Daphnia pulex: one gene and its partner. The protein of the gene in region 1 binds, or shares a complex with, the protein of each later gene. Links are inferred from orthologs where the notes say so. Each region holds a gene or a part of one and is shown in the gene's direction. Other genes may lie near its edges.

Region 1 (4,806 bases):
AAAATAACTGACACAAACGCAGATCTTTAAGTTTTTTTTTGTGTTTAATTAAAGTGCTAACAGAAATTTTTTTCGACGAATGGCGTTGTGTTGCACAATCGGCTGGAGAGTTATCACGAGGCAATTGGTTCTTCCTGCGCAAATCGAATTATACGATTTACTGTACATCGTTTTGATCTGTACAGTTGCTGTCGTTTTTCCGCCAATGTCGCCTCTGAATTTCTGGAGTAAACGACCGACTTTGAATACCAGCTATAGGTTTGTGGCGCGTTTCACGACAAGACGTGGAAGATTTTTTCCCCTGTTCGAGTTGTCTTGGATCAGCAAATCCTTCGAAGTTGTCCGGCAAAAAATATGTGCTCTTCCAACTCAACAAATCAGCTAGTTCCTTTTTTTCGAATCCTTCTGCCAAATTTCCAGCTGTAAGACCTTTTCGATTCTTCTGACCTAAACAAGAATCATCGATTAGTGGAAGAAAAGTCAAAGAGAGCATTTTTTCTAACCGAGGTAGATCATTCGATGCACAGCACTTAGCCGCTCAAGAATAATCGTCACTATATCGGTTAAACCAAGCGATGCGGCGTGCTAATAATAGAATGTTATTGTAAATTTTAAAATAATGTTAACGTGCTTAAATGTAAAGTATCAATTTATGTAAGTTTCACCATGAGTGCACTGTTTCCATCAAAGTCTTCCATACCATGATCCAAACGTTTCTGTGATAAAACTAAACAGTAATTTGTTAAGCTGAACTTGAAACGATATGAATCTCTACCGATTCCAGCAAAATGCGAACAGTGCTCTTTTGTCGACGTAGTATAGAGTGCATTAGCGGTGTCATACCGTACCGATCACCAATGTTTGGATCTGCTCCGGCTTGTAGTAAAAGTACAATTAAGCGGTTTCTTATTGATTCGTCGTCCTTCACCTGTGTAACCGCCAGGATTAGAGGAGTACTTCCTATAGTTCCATGCAGTAAAATAAAAGTTTTGCTTTACTATTCGTTAACAGTCGTAAAATAGCGGTAAAGTGTTCAGTATTAAATTTAAAGCATTTTTCTTTACCCTCACGATGGATGTCGACGTAATCTTGATCATAACCAGCATCTAAATAGAATTTAACTTGGCGATAATGTCCACTAATAACAGCATCTAACAAATACGAAGCACGATCCGCTACTGAGTCCATAGGCGACGATAGCTGTAGGTGCCCGCTGATCGAATGTTTCCAAACGACTTCGATCGCACGGCAAAGAGCCTAGGATTTTTAAAGGAGTGGTGTAGGTACTCAGTCGACGTCGCAAAATCCCTGAATGCGCACGAGAGAATGCGTCGTGAGGAAATTCAATTGAAAGTACTCGCGCGTTACGCTTGTCCGTAGTAAACATGCAGGGAGAGAGGGGTTGTATTATTATCAATGTCAACATATTGGCCTTCATCGTCCGCAAACAGTAGCCTAATACCATTTATAGGACAGATTACATCGTTTCGTGCCGCTCGCAATAACTCAATTGGTGAATAAAAATGGCTCAACCCTGCACGATTTGAATTGGCTGCAGCAAAGTCACGTTCCAACATATGTTACGAATATCTTCTAAAGCCTATTGCAAAGTCGAATGATTATAGTAATTTCACAACTTTGATCACAATTCACTTTAAATCTCCTGTATTATATTGAAACTCGTGAAATTATTGCTATGAAATATTATTGCGAATGTAAGGTTATGATACGGCAATGAAACCGTAGCACCAATAAGAAAATTAGAAAGCGGACACGAGACCAAAAGTTTCTTTTTATTTTATTATTAGTCACAGCTTTACCACTGCGATGTGTAGGAGACATGTTTCATCAGATAAAAAGGTCGACGACACGTCGACACTCTAAAAAAAAGTGCAATACTTGTTCTTTAACACGAAATCTTATAGAAGAAAGACGTAAGAAAGAGTTGAATTTGGAGCCCAGCCAATTTTTGTTTGGTACACGTCATCGCCAATAAGAAGACTCGCCGTAATGTGGTGGCGCTGACATCGTCATAGCAAACCCCGCCTTTATTACCTATGTCTCCTAGCCTCTAGCTACTGTAATTTGTAAAGATAAGTTGGTATCAAAAGATTTTCTCTCAGTTTACACCAGACGAACACATGCGAAGGTAGTCTGCACGAGCCTGCACTGAAATTTTGTTTAACAGGAAAAGAAATCAAATCTTGTACTAGCATTCTTGCAGCAGTATCCGACGAGACATAAACGAATGACTTGCTATTTCGAACGTTGACGAAACTACATTTTTGCTGAAATTGTCTACACAAGCCGTAAGTTTATTTTGGGAATTATTGATTTGTGTAATACCTACCGTGTTCGTGTACATGGGATAACGTGAAACTATTCTGAAAACTGTTTCAGGATATAAATAGTCCACAATGAGTTTTCAGTGGGGTTTAATTGCAACTTTTCTCTACATTGAGATAGCTGTTGTTTTCCTACTCCTTCTGCCATTCATCTCTGCTCAGAGGTAAATAAAATATCATTGTGTACCCATTTCAACATTTACATCAGTTTTTTTTCTCTTTTTCCTCCCCAAGATGGAACAAACTTTTCAAGTCAAGTTTCCTCAGAGGTCTAGGTCAGCAAGTTCACATATACTTCTATGTCATCCTTGCATTCCTGGTCCTCTGCTTATTCGGTAATATAGAACACATAATTTCTCAGCCTGATATGTTATGACGAAATAATATGACATACTTCCATGGCAATGCTAAATCACATGTAATTCCTAGATGCTATTCGGGAGATGAGGAAGTATGATGTTACTCACGATGGAAAAGCAAAGGAACAACAACACCAACATTTAGAGCAAGAACTTCGAAATTCTATGGTGCTCTTTAGAGCCCAAAGGAATTTTTACATTACTGGATTCTCTCTGTTTTTGATTTTGTAAGTATTGATCATTTGAATGACCATTTACTGTTCCCAACTAACTCCGTACATTTTCTAGCGTTATTCGTCGTCTGATGACACTGCTTGCGGCTCAAGCAACTTTGGCAGCAACCAGTGAGGCCGCTATGCGCCAGGCCACTTCAGCTTCGAAGGCTGCGGAAGAGTTAATGTCCCAGAAAGACAAATCCGCTAGTGATGAAAACGTTAAAGAAGCTGAAGAAAAGATTTCCCTTTTGGAGAAAGAATTGGCTGATGCCAAGAAAGGTAAGAGTCTGTAATGTAGGGATAAATCATGGACGTTCTTATAAAGATTTTTCTTTTTCAGAGAGGTCTCAAGCCGTGAAAGACCTTGAAGCCTTTAAATCACAAAGCGAAGGTGTTGCTCGGGAATACGACCGTCTCGCCGAAGAGCACAGTAAACTTGTAAAGAAATTGGCCGTCTTAGAAGGAGAAGGTGGGTCTGACAAGAAAGATGATTAAAAATGACCTTGGTTGATCTGTTGGTTATGAAATAACATGCTTGTCCTTTTGTTTGTCACTTTGAAAATTGTGGTAATGCTCTATAATCTATCTAGCTTTTACAAACAATAAAATCCAGGCTAAAACATAGTTTGGGGAGGGGTATCAACTTTATTATTTCTCCCTACTTTGATGTATCAGCAAAAGTGACAGCAACATAATAATTACACATTCGAAATGGTCCTTAAAACATGATCGATATACTGAATTTTATTTCAAAGCGTCTTGCATCATGAGAAATTTTTCAAATGCCTCAGCCATCTCATCATCCATTCCAGTATCTTCTTCATACGCATACCTAGATAAGAAATAATATTAGGTCATAAGATGTAAAATCGTCATTTTGAAAACGCATATACTCGTATTCTTCATCCTCATCATGGCGATTGATTCCTTGGTCAAGAAACTCAGTTTCCTCAGCAGTTAGAGCTTGACCGTCAGGGCCATAATACACACCCATTTGATGGTTGGGGAGCTGACTACTTGCAGTGTGACTTTCACGAGTCACTGGGGAGCTCGGTGCCCGACCCCAGTCACTGCCTCTCAACTCAATCATGTTCAGAAGAAGATCTAACACACAAAAAAAAAAATAATTAATTTTAATTAATTGAAAGTTATGTAAAAAATGTAACCTTTCATATGCATTTGCATTTCAACTGTGCGACCGACTGTTTCAATCTTCGCCATCAGTTGGTCCATTTCGGTGGTTTTTCCTTTATTAGCCTCACGATCATCGTCTTCAAGGTAAGAGCCCGATAACTAAAGCAAAAATTTTACCAAATTTCATTTCAAACCGATTCTATTAAACGACTGTAGTACCTTCAGAATTTGACAGACGCATTTGACGTTACCAGGAGTTGGATGTTCTAGAAGAGTCAGCAATAGCTCCCGAACGGCTCTTCCTAAAACGCGGAATCTGCTGGACGCATCTTTCTGATTCATGTGCACAAAGAGTTCGCTCATAAATAAAGCAAATCCCCTCAAATACTCTGCATCGCTTTGCATCAGGTTTTTTCGATCATCATGGATTATTCGACATCTGAGATGAGAATTTTGAAAGATATGGTTCATGCATATCTCAATTCAGCATTGAATATTTTATCACCACCTGTTAAAAAGAGTAGATCGAAAATCGGGAGAAGTAGGACCGGAAATTCGTAGTCCTCGAGTAATTGAATTACAAAGCCTTGCGCCGTTATACCGGAAATTAGGTTCACGAATAGCCTTTAAACGTAAATTACCAGATTAATAATTTTAAATAATGATAAGAAAGAAAATAGTTACTAGAGCGACGATTTCATCCACTAATATCTGCAGCATACTTTCATCCAAAGCTGGCCAACTGTTCAGGTT
Region 2 (4,431 bases), on another chromosome or scaffold:
ATCCCGACGGTTTAAAAGTCCTGTAGATGCAGACCATCTGACCCATTTGCCTGAATTTGTTTTGATTTTATAATTGATTGAGGCTAATGAAAAGATGCCGAAATCGGATTTTTAGGCCATCACACACATTTATTGGGTTTGTTCTGAATTTTTGCAAATTGCTTTGATTCCATTTGGGTTTGGCCCCTGCGACAGAGAAATGGGTCGATTATTTCAGCACAACCCAACTAACACGGGCCGTGAAAAACGTGACTATTTGGAAATGGATCTATTGGCTTGATCAGTTCAAGCCAAAGGTCAACAAAGTTGAGCGATGGATGAGGGACCGTCTCGAATTTCTCCGCGGCCTCGACCATCAATTCGCCAACTTTCTCACGTATTGGTCGGTAAACATGGTGGTCCCTATCTATAGGAAAATGCCAAATTGTTGTATGTGTATGTATAACAGACACGAACTTGTAGAGTTTCGGCCTTGTGTGATGAGCCGAGAATCTGATCCCAAACATAACCGAATTCGATCGCTGAAAAAACCTTGAACAATTTTTCCCCCACACACGCAAATGTCGGGTACTTGGAAGTTCAGTCGATTGAATTCAGGTCTCGGATGATTTTGTTTGTTTCCTCCTTGTGAATCGATTTAGGGTTATGTAAAATAAAATCAGGGCAAATACGATTATCGTGCATTTCCCGTCAATTGCGTTGCGGGTTGGTTGCTGGATGATATCAACAGTTGACGGCTGATGCTGTGCGCATGTCCAGGCCAGTCTTATAAAAGGGAGGCTGCATCCAGAGATGACGATCAAACCCAATCACGACTTTGCCCAGTTCTCCAACATCACGCGCCAATTTTATTTCATATCGAAAATGAAGGAATCGTTGGGCAACAAATCAGCGACGACGACCAACAACAAAACCAACAACACTGGAAATAACAACAACCGATTGTGTGTCACCGTTCTAGGATCTACCGCCGTTGGCAAAACAGGTTTGTTAATTTTGAATTTTTATTTGGCGCTAATAAGTGGCGTGAATTAATTTATGCAAAATTTGATTAAACAGCGTTGACAGTTCAGTACCTGACGAGTCGATTCATCGGCGATTATTTCTCCGGGACCGACATGACTTATCACCACTCTTTCGCTTACATGGGAGGATCGCTGAAAACCAACGTCGACATTCTCGACATTTCACGGCCATCCCGCAATGACGTAAGTCGTCATCACGGCTCACATTTTCAATTTGAAAAGCTAATTGATTTTGGGTTATAATTAAAGGTGATTGGTGAAGATGAGGAAATGTTATCGTCAGTAGTCGGCACAGAAAAGTGCATGGCTTACCTGGTCGTCTATTCGCTGACCAATTCCAAAAGTTTCGATCGAGCTCGTGAAATCCTGTCCAGGTTACCTTTCCATTCGCCGAAATATTTGGTGGCCAACCAACTCGACCTCCAACACAGACGACAGGTATGTCGAATTTTTTTCCTATTCCAGGGATTTACATTTAATTTAATTTATTGAAATTTGTTCAGGTGTCGCGACTGGAAGGTCAAACCGCAGCCGATGAATTCGGTTGTCCATTTGACGAATTCTCAGCGGCCGAGCCGCAGTACGAAGGCCAACAGTGGGGAGTGAAAATTGTTTTCCAAAAGTTGATTCGCCAATTGATTTCCAATTCGCACGTTCTTCCATATCCGCGGATGATCCGCTTTTCGTCCTTTTCGAAAATGATTGGCGCCATCGTCTCCAAGACGCGCCACCACTCGGCCAATTCCAACAACAAATCGCAGCACCAACAGCAAAAGAATTTCGCCAACCAGCACAACCGCAAATCCTCCATGTCTTCGTGCAGCGACAGGAGCAGCAACTCGAGTGGCAACAACAGCACCGGAAGTGTCGATTCCATCGCCACACTCACGCCCGACATGAGTCTGTTGCACATCAACAGCGCCCATTTGATTCACGGAGTGAAATCTAAACCCATTCCCATCGTCCACCGAAAGCTTTTGACCAGCTCCAACTATCCGTCAAGTCAAATCGCCTCCATATGAATTATATATATCGATTTTATTATCATCATCAACATTTCTTATGACTGGCACAACCAAAATATCATGCAAAATGTACAGCTACAATATATGTATTTTGATACAAATTATTTATATCTATAAACTTTGAATACAAATTTTTTGAAAAGTTAATTACTGTTTTATTCTTTAAATTGTAGTAAGGTCGTATCCGTTGATCAAAACTGTTTTGCATTTTCAAACATTTTTGAAAATCCCGCCTATTCCGTCTGCTGGAAATCAGCTGATATTCCGACTGACTACGTTTTTCAGCTTGTTGTCATCAGTGTATTGCTCAATATTTGATTGGTAATAATAGCAAAATGGAGGACGTTCTAGACGAAAGTATTTCTGAAGAGGATTTGAAGGTACGTGTAACTCTGTAACAATTGTCATTTTCAATTTATAATGTTTGGACTCTTTGGCAGAAATTCGAGCGACGTTATCACGACAGTTTGACCCAGGGAACAGTAACTCAAGACATCCAGTTCAATTATTCCTGGGCATTGATCAGGAGTAAATATCAGGCAGATATCAAGCGAGGGATTTTTCTCTTGGAGGACTTGTCCAAAGGAGGAAATGATGAGGGCAGGAGAGACTACATCTACTACCTAGCCATTGCCAATGCCAAAATCAAGGTAATAAAAATGATCATACTTTTAGCACTTGAAGATGTCATAGTTGTCATATAAATTATCCTACACTTTGGAGAGATGACATTTTTGATCTATCCTAAAAATCGTGTTTGTTTGCTTTTGTTATTTGACAGGAGTACAGCAAAGCTTTGGGTTACACCAAAGTTCTGCTCCAAGTAGAACCAAATAATCGGCAGGTCAGAACTCTAAAAAATGTCATTGAGAAACGAATGGAAAGAGGTATGAAGTTCTTTTGTTGTGTGCACATCTTCATATTTTTAACCCTTTATTTATTTATTTTTCATAATTATTAACAGAGGGACTTAAAGGCATTGCCATCATAGGTGGAGCAGCATTGGCTTTGGGTAGTCTGATTGGACTGGGGGTAGCTCTGGCAAGGAAGTGATAGCGCTCATTAATGCCACGATACACTTCTTATTCTGTAATCCCTTTTGTCATGCAGATTTATGTTATGTGCTGAACTGCTGTGTTGAATCTGAATGTTGATATTTTCACTATCATAAAAATTTTCTTGTGGAAAACTATATTATACTTTCATTCCTTTCTTTTTGTTTTATTTTCATGAAATTCTAGTGTATCAGAAATGAAAGGTATAATGAACAATTACAGATTTACAGTACATTTAGTGTTGTTAATTGTGCGTTGGTTGCGTAAAAAACAAACACTAAAGCCGCACTAAATGCGCACAACAAAAGGTTGCCGAAACCGATTACTAGACATCTAGTAGCACACACACGATTGACACATGACATTTGACAGAAGCAGCCTTGAGGGCTCGCTACGTAGAATCAGATTCTGTGGGTAGAAAAACTTTCGGGCTTACCGTGGCTCCGGTGTAAATATGCCAATCTAACATGTTTTCATGTGTTGCAACATGTAACCTTTGCTCGAGTTAACTGCGTATGCCAACAAAATTACGTGTAGTTTTAGGGGACAACAGAGTAGGCGGCCAGACAAAGCAAAAGTATTATGATATTCCAATGGCAATGACTAAGACGGCCACGAAAGAAGTTTCCGAGAATGGCGCTGGCAAAGTAAACAGTTACAGAGATTTCACATCAACGATTCATAAACCAGCTGCTCAACAATTATTCATATGTCCAGGTATCGCCTTGATTATTTTTCAGACTCTTTAAAGTTGAAAAATGACATTTTTCCAATTCTGTAAACAGAAGTTTCTCTGAAATGGGGATGTGCAATCATCTTTATCCTGGCGTCAGTGTGCTATTTAAATTCAGTAAACGGGTCCTTTGTGTTTGACGACACAGAAGCAATAGTAAACAACGAAGATGCTAAAGGCAAGACTCCTCTCAACGAAATATTTTTCAATGACTTTTGGGGCACATCACTCAATCACAAGAGTAGTCACAAATCGTACCGACCATTGACCATTTTATCATTCAGGTATTTTCTATACGAGACATTGAATGAATCATTTCACCAATTGACCTTGTTGTTGTTGTTGTTGTGCAGGTTAAACTACATTTTCAATGGGCTGGATCCAAGGCCCTTTCACTTGACGAATGTGTTGCTCCATTCCATCTGCTGCACCCTGAGTCTGGTGATCTTCTCAACTTTGTTGGGAGAAACTCGCCCGAGGCTGTCGTTCATCACGGCCATCCTTTTCTCGGTTCATCCCGTCCACACGGAAGCCGTCAGCGGAATAGTTGGGCGAGCGGATCTCCTCTGCGGAATCTTTTATTTTCTCTCCAT

What was found. The genes of interacting proteins can lie anywhere in the genome.
Region 2: the proteins of B-cell receptor-associated protein 31-like (region 1) and mitochondrial fission 1 protein-like are in contact, whole or in part, in a crystal structure (PDB 8XWX), measured with the Homo sapiens proteins. The link is inferred for Daphnia pulex from reciprocal best matches to the Homo sapiens genes BCAP31 and FIS1. Residues at the interface, in NP_001132913.1 of Homo sapiens: Asp224, Leu227, Glu228, Ala231, Lys232, Ala235; in NP_057152.2 of Homo sapiens: Arg52, Val56, Glu59, Glu60, Pro63, Lys64, Lys89.

Annotation. Positions count from the first base shown.
Region 1 is NC_060022.1:3,343,157-3,347,962, reverse strand, and holds B-cell receptor-associated protein 31-like, read left to right. Parts: upstream 1-2,037; 5' UTR 2,038-2,309; intron 2,310-2,400; 5' UTR 2,401-2,417; coding exon 2,418-2,509; intron 2,510-2,579; coding exon 2,580-2,680; intron 2,681-2,774; coding exon 2,775-2,931; intron 2,932-2,992; coding exon 2,993-3,198; intron 3,199-3,259; coding exon 3,260-3,414; 3' UTR 3,415-3,643; downstream 3,644-4,806. Other genes in the region: ankyrin repeat domain-containing protein 34A-like, read right to left, coding at 158-447, 504-585, 666-716, 776-960, 1,065-1,188; polyadenylate-binding protein-interacting protein 1-like, read right to left, coding at 3,664-3,751, 3,813-4,023, 4,086-4,212, 4,273-4,492, 4,562-4,677, 4,738-4,806. UniProt on the Homo sapiens protein: Functions as a chaperone protein. Is one of the most abundant endoplasmic reticulum (ER) proteins.
Region 2 is NC_060026.1:16,281,217-16,285,647, forward strand, and holds mitochondrial fission 1 protein-like, read left to right. Parts: upstream 1-2,282; 5' UTR 2,283-2,385; coding exon 2,386-2,430; intron 2,431-2,490; coding exon 2,491-2,700; intron 2,701-2,831; coding exon 2,832-2,937; intron 2,938-3,014; coding exon 3,015-3,103; 3' UTR 3,104-3,336; downstream 3,337-4,431. Other genes in the region: ras-related and estrogen-regulated growth inhibitor-like protein, read left to right, coding at 793-985, 1,060-1,208, 1,275-1,463, 1,529-2,047; protein O-mannosyl-transferase TMTC4-like, read left to right, coding at 3,621-3,822, 3,891-4,122, 4,192-4,431. UniProt on the Homo sapiens protein: Involved in the fragmentation of the mitochondrial network and its perinuclear clustering. Plays a minor role in the recruitment and association of the fission mediator dynamin-related protein 1 (DNM1L) to the mitochondrial surface and mitochondrial fission.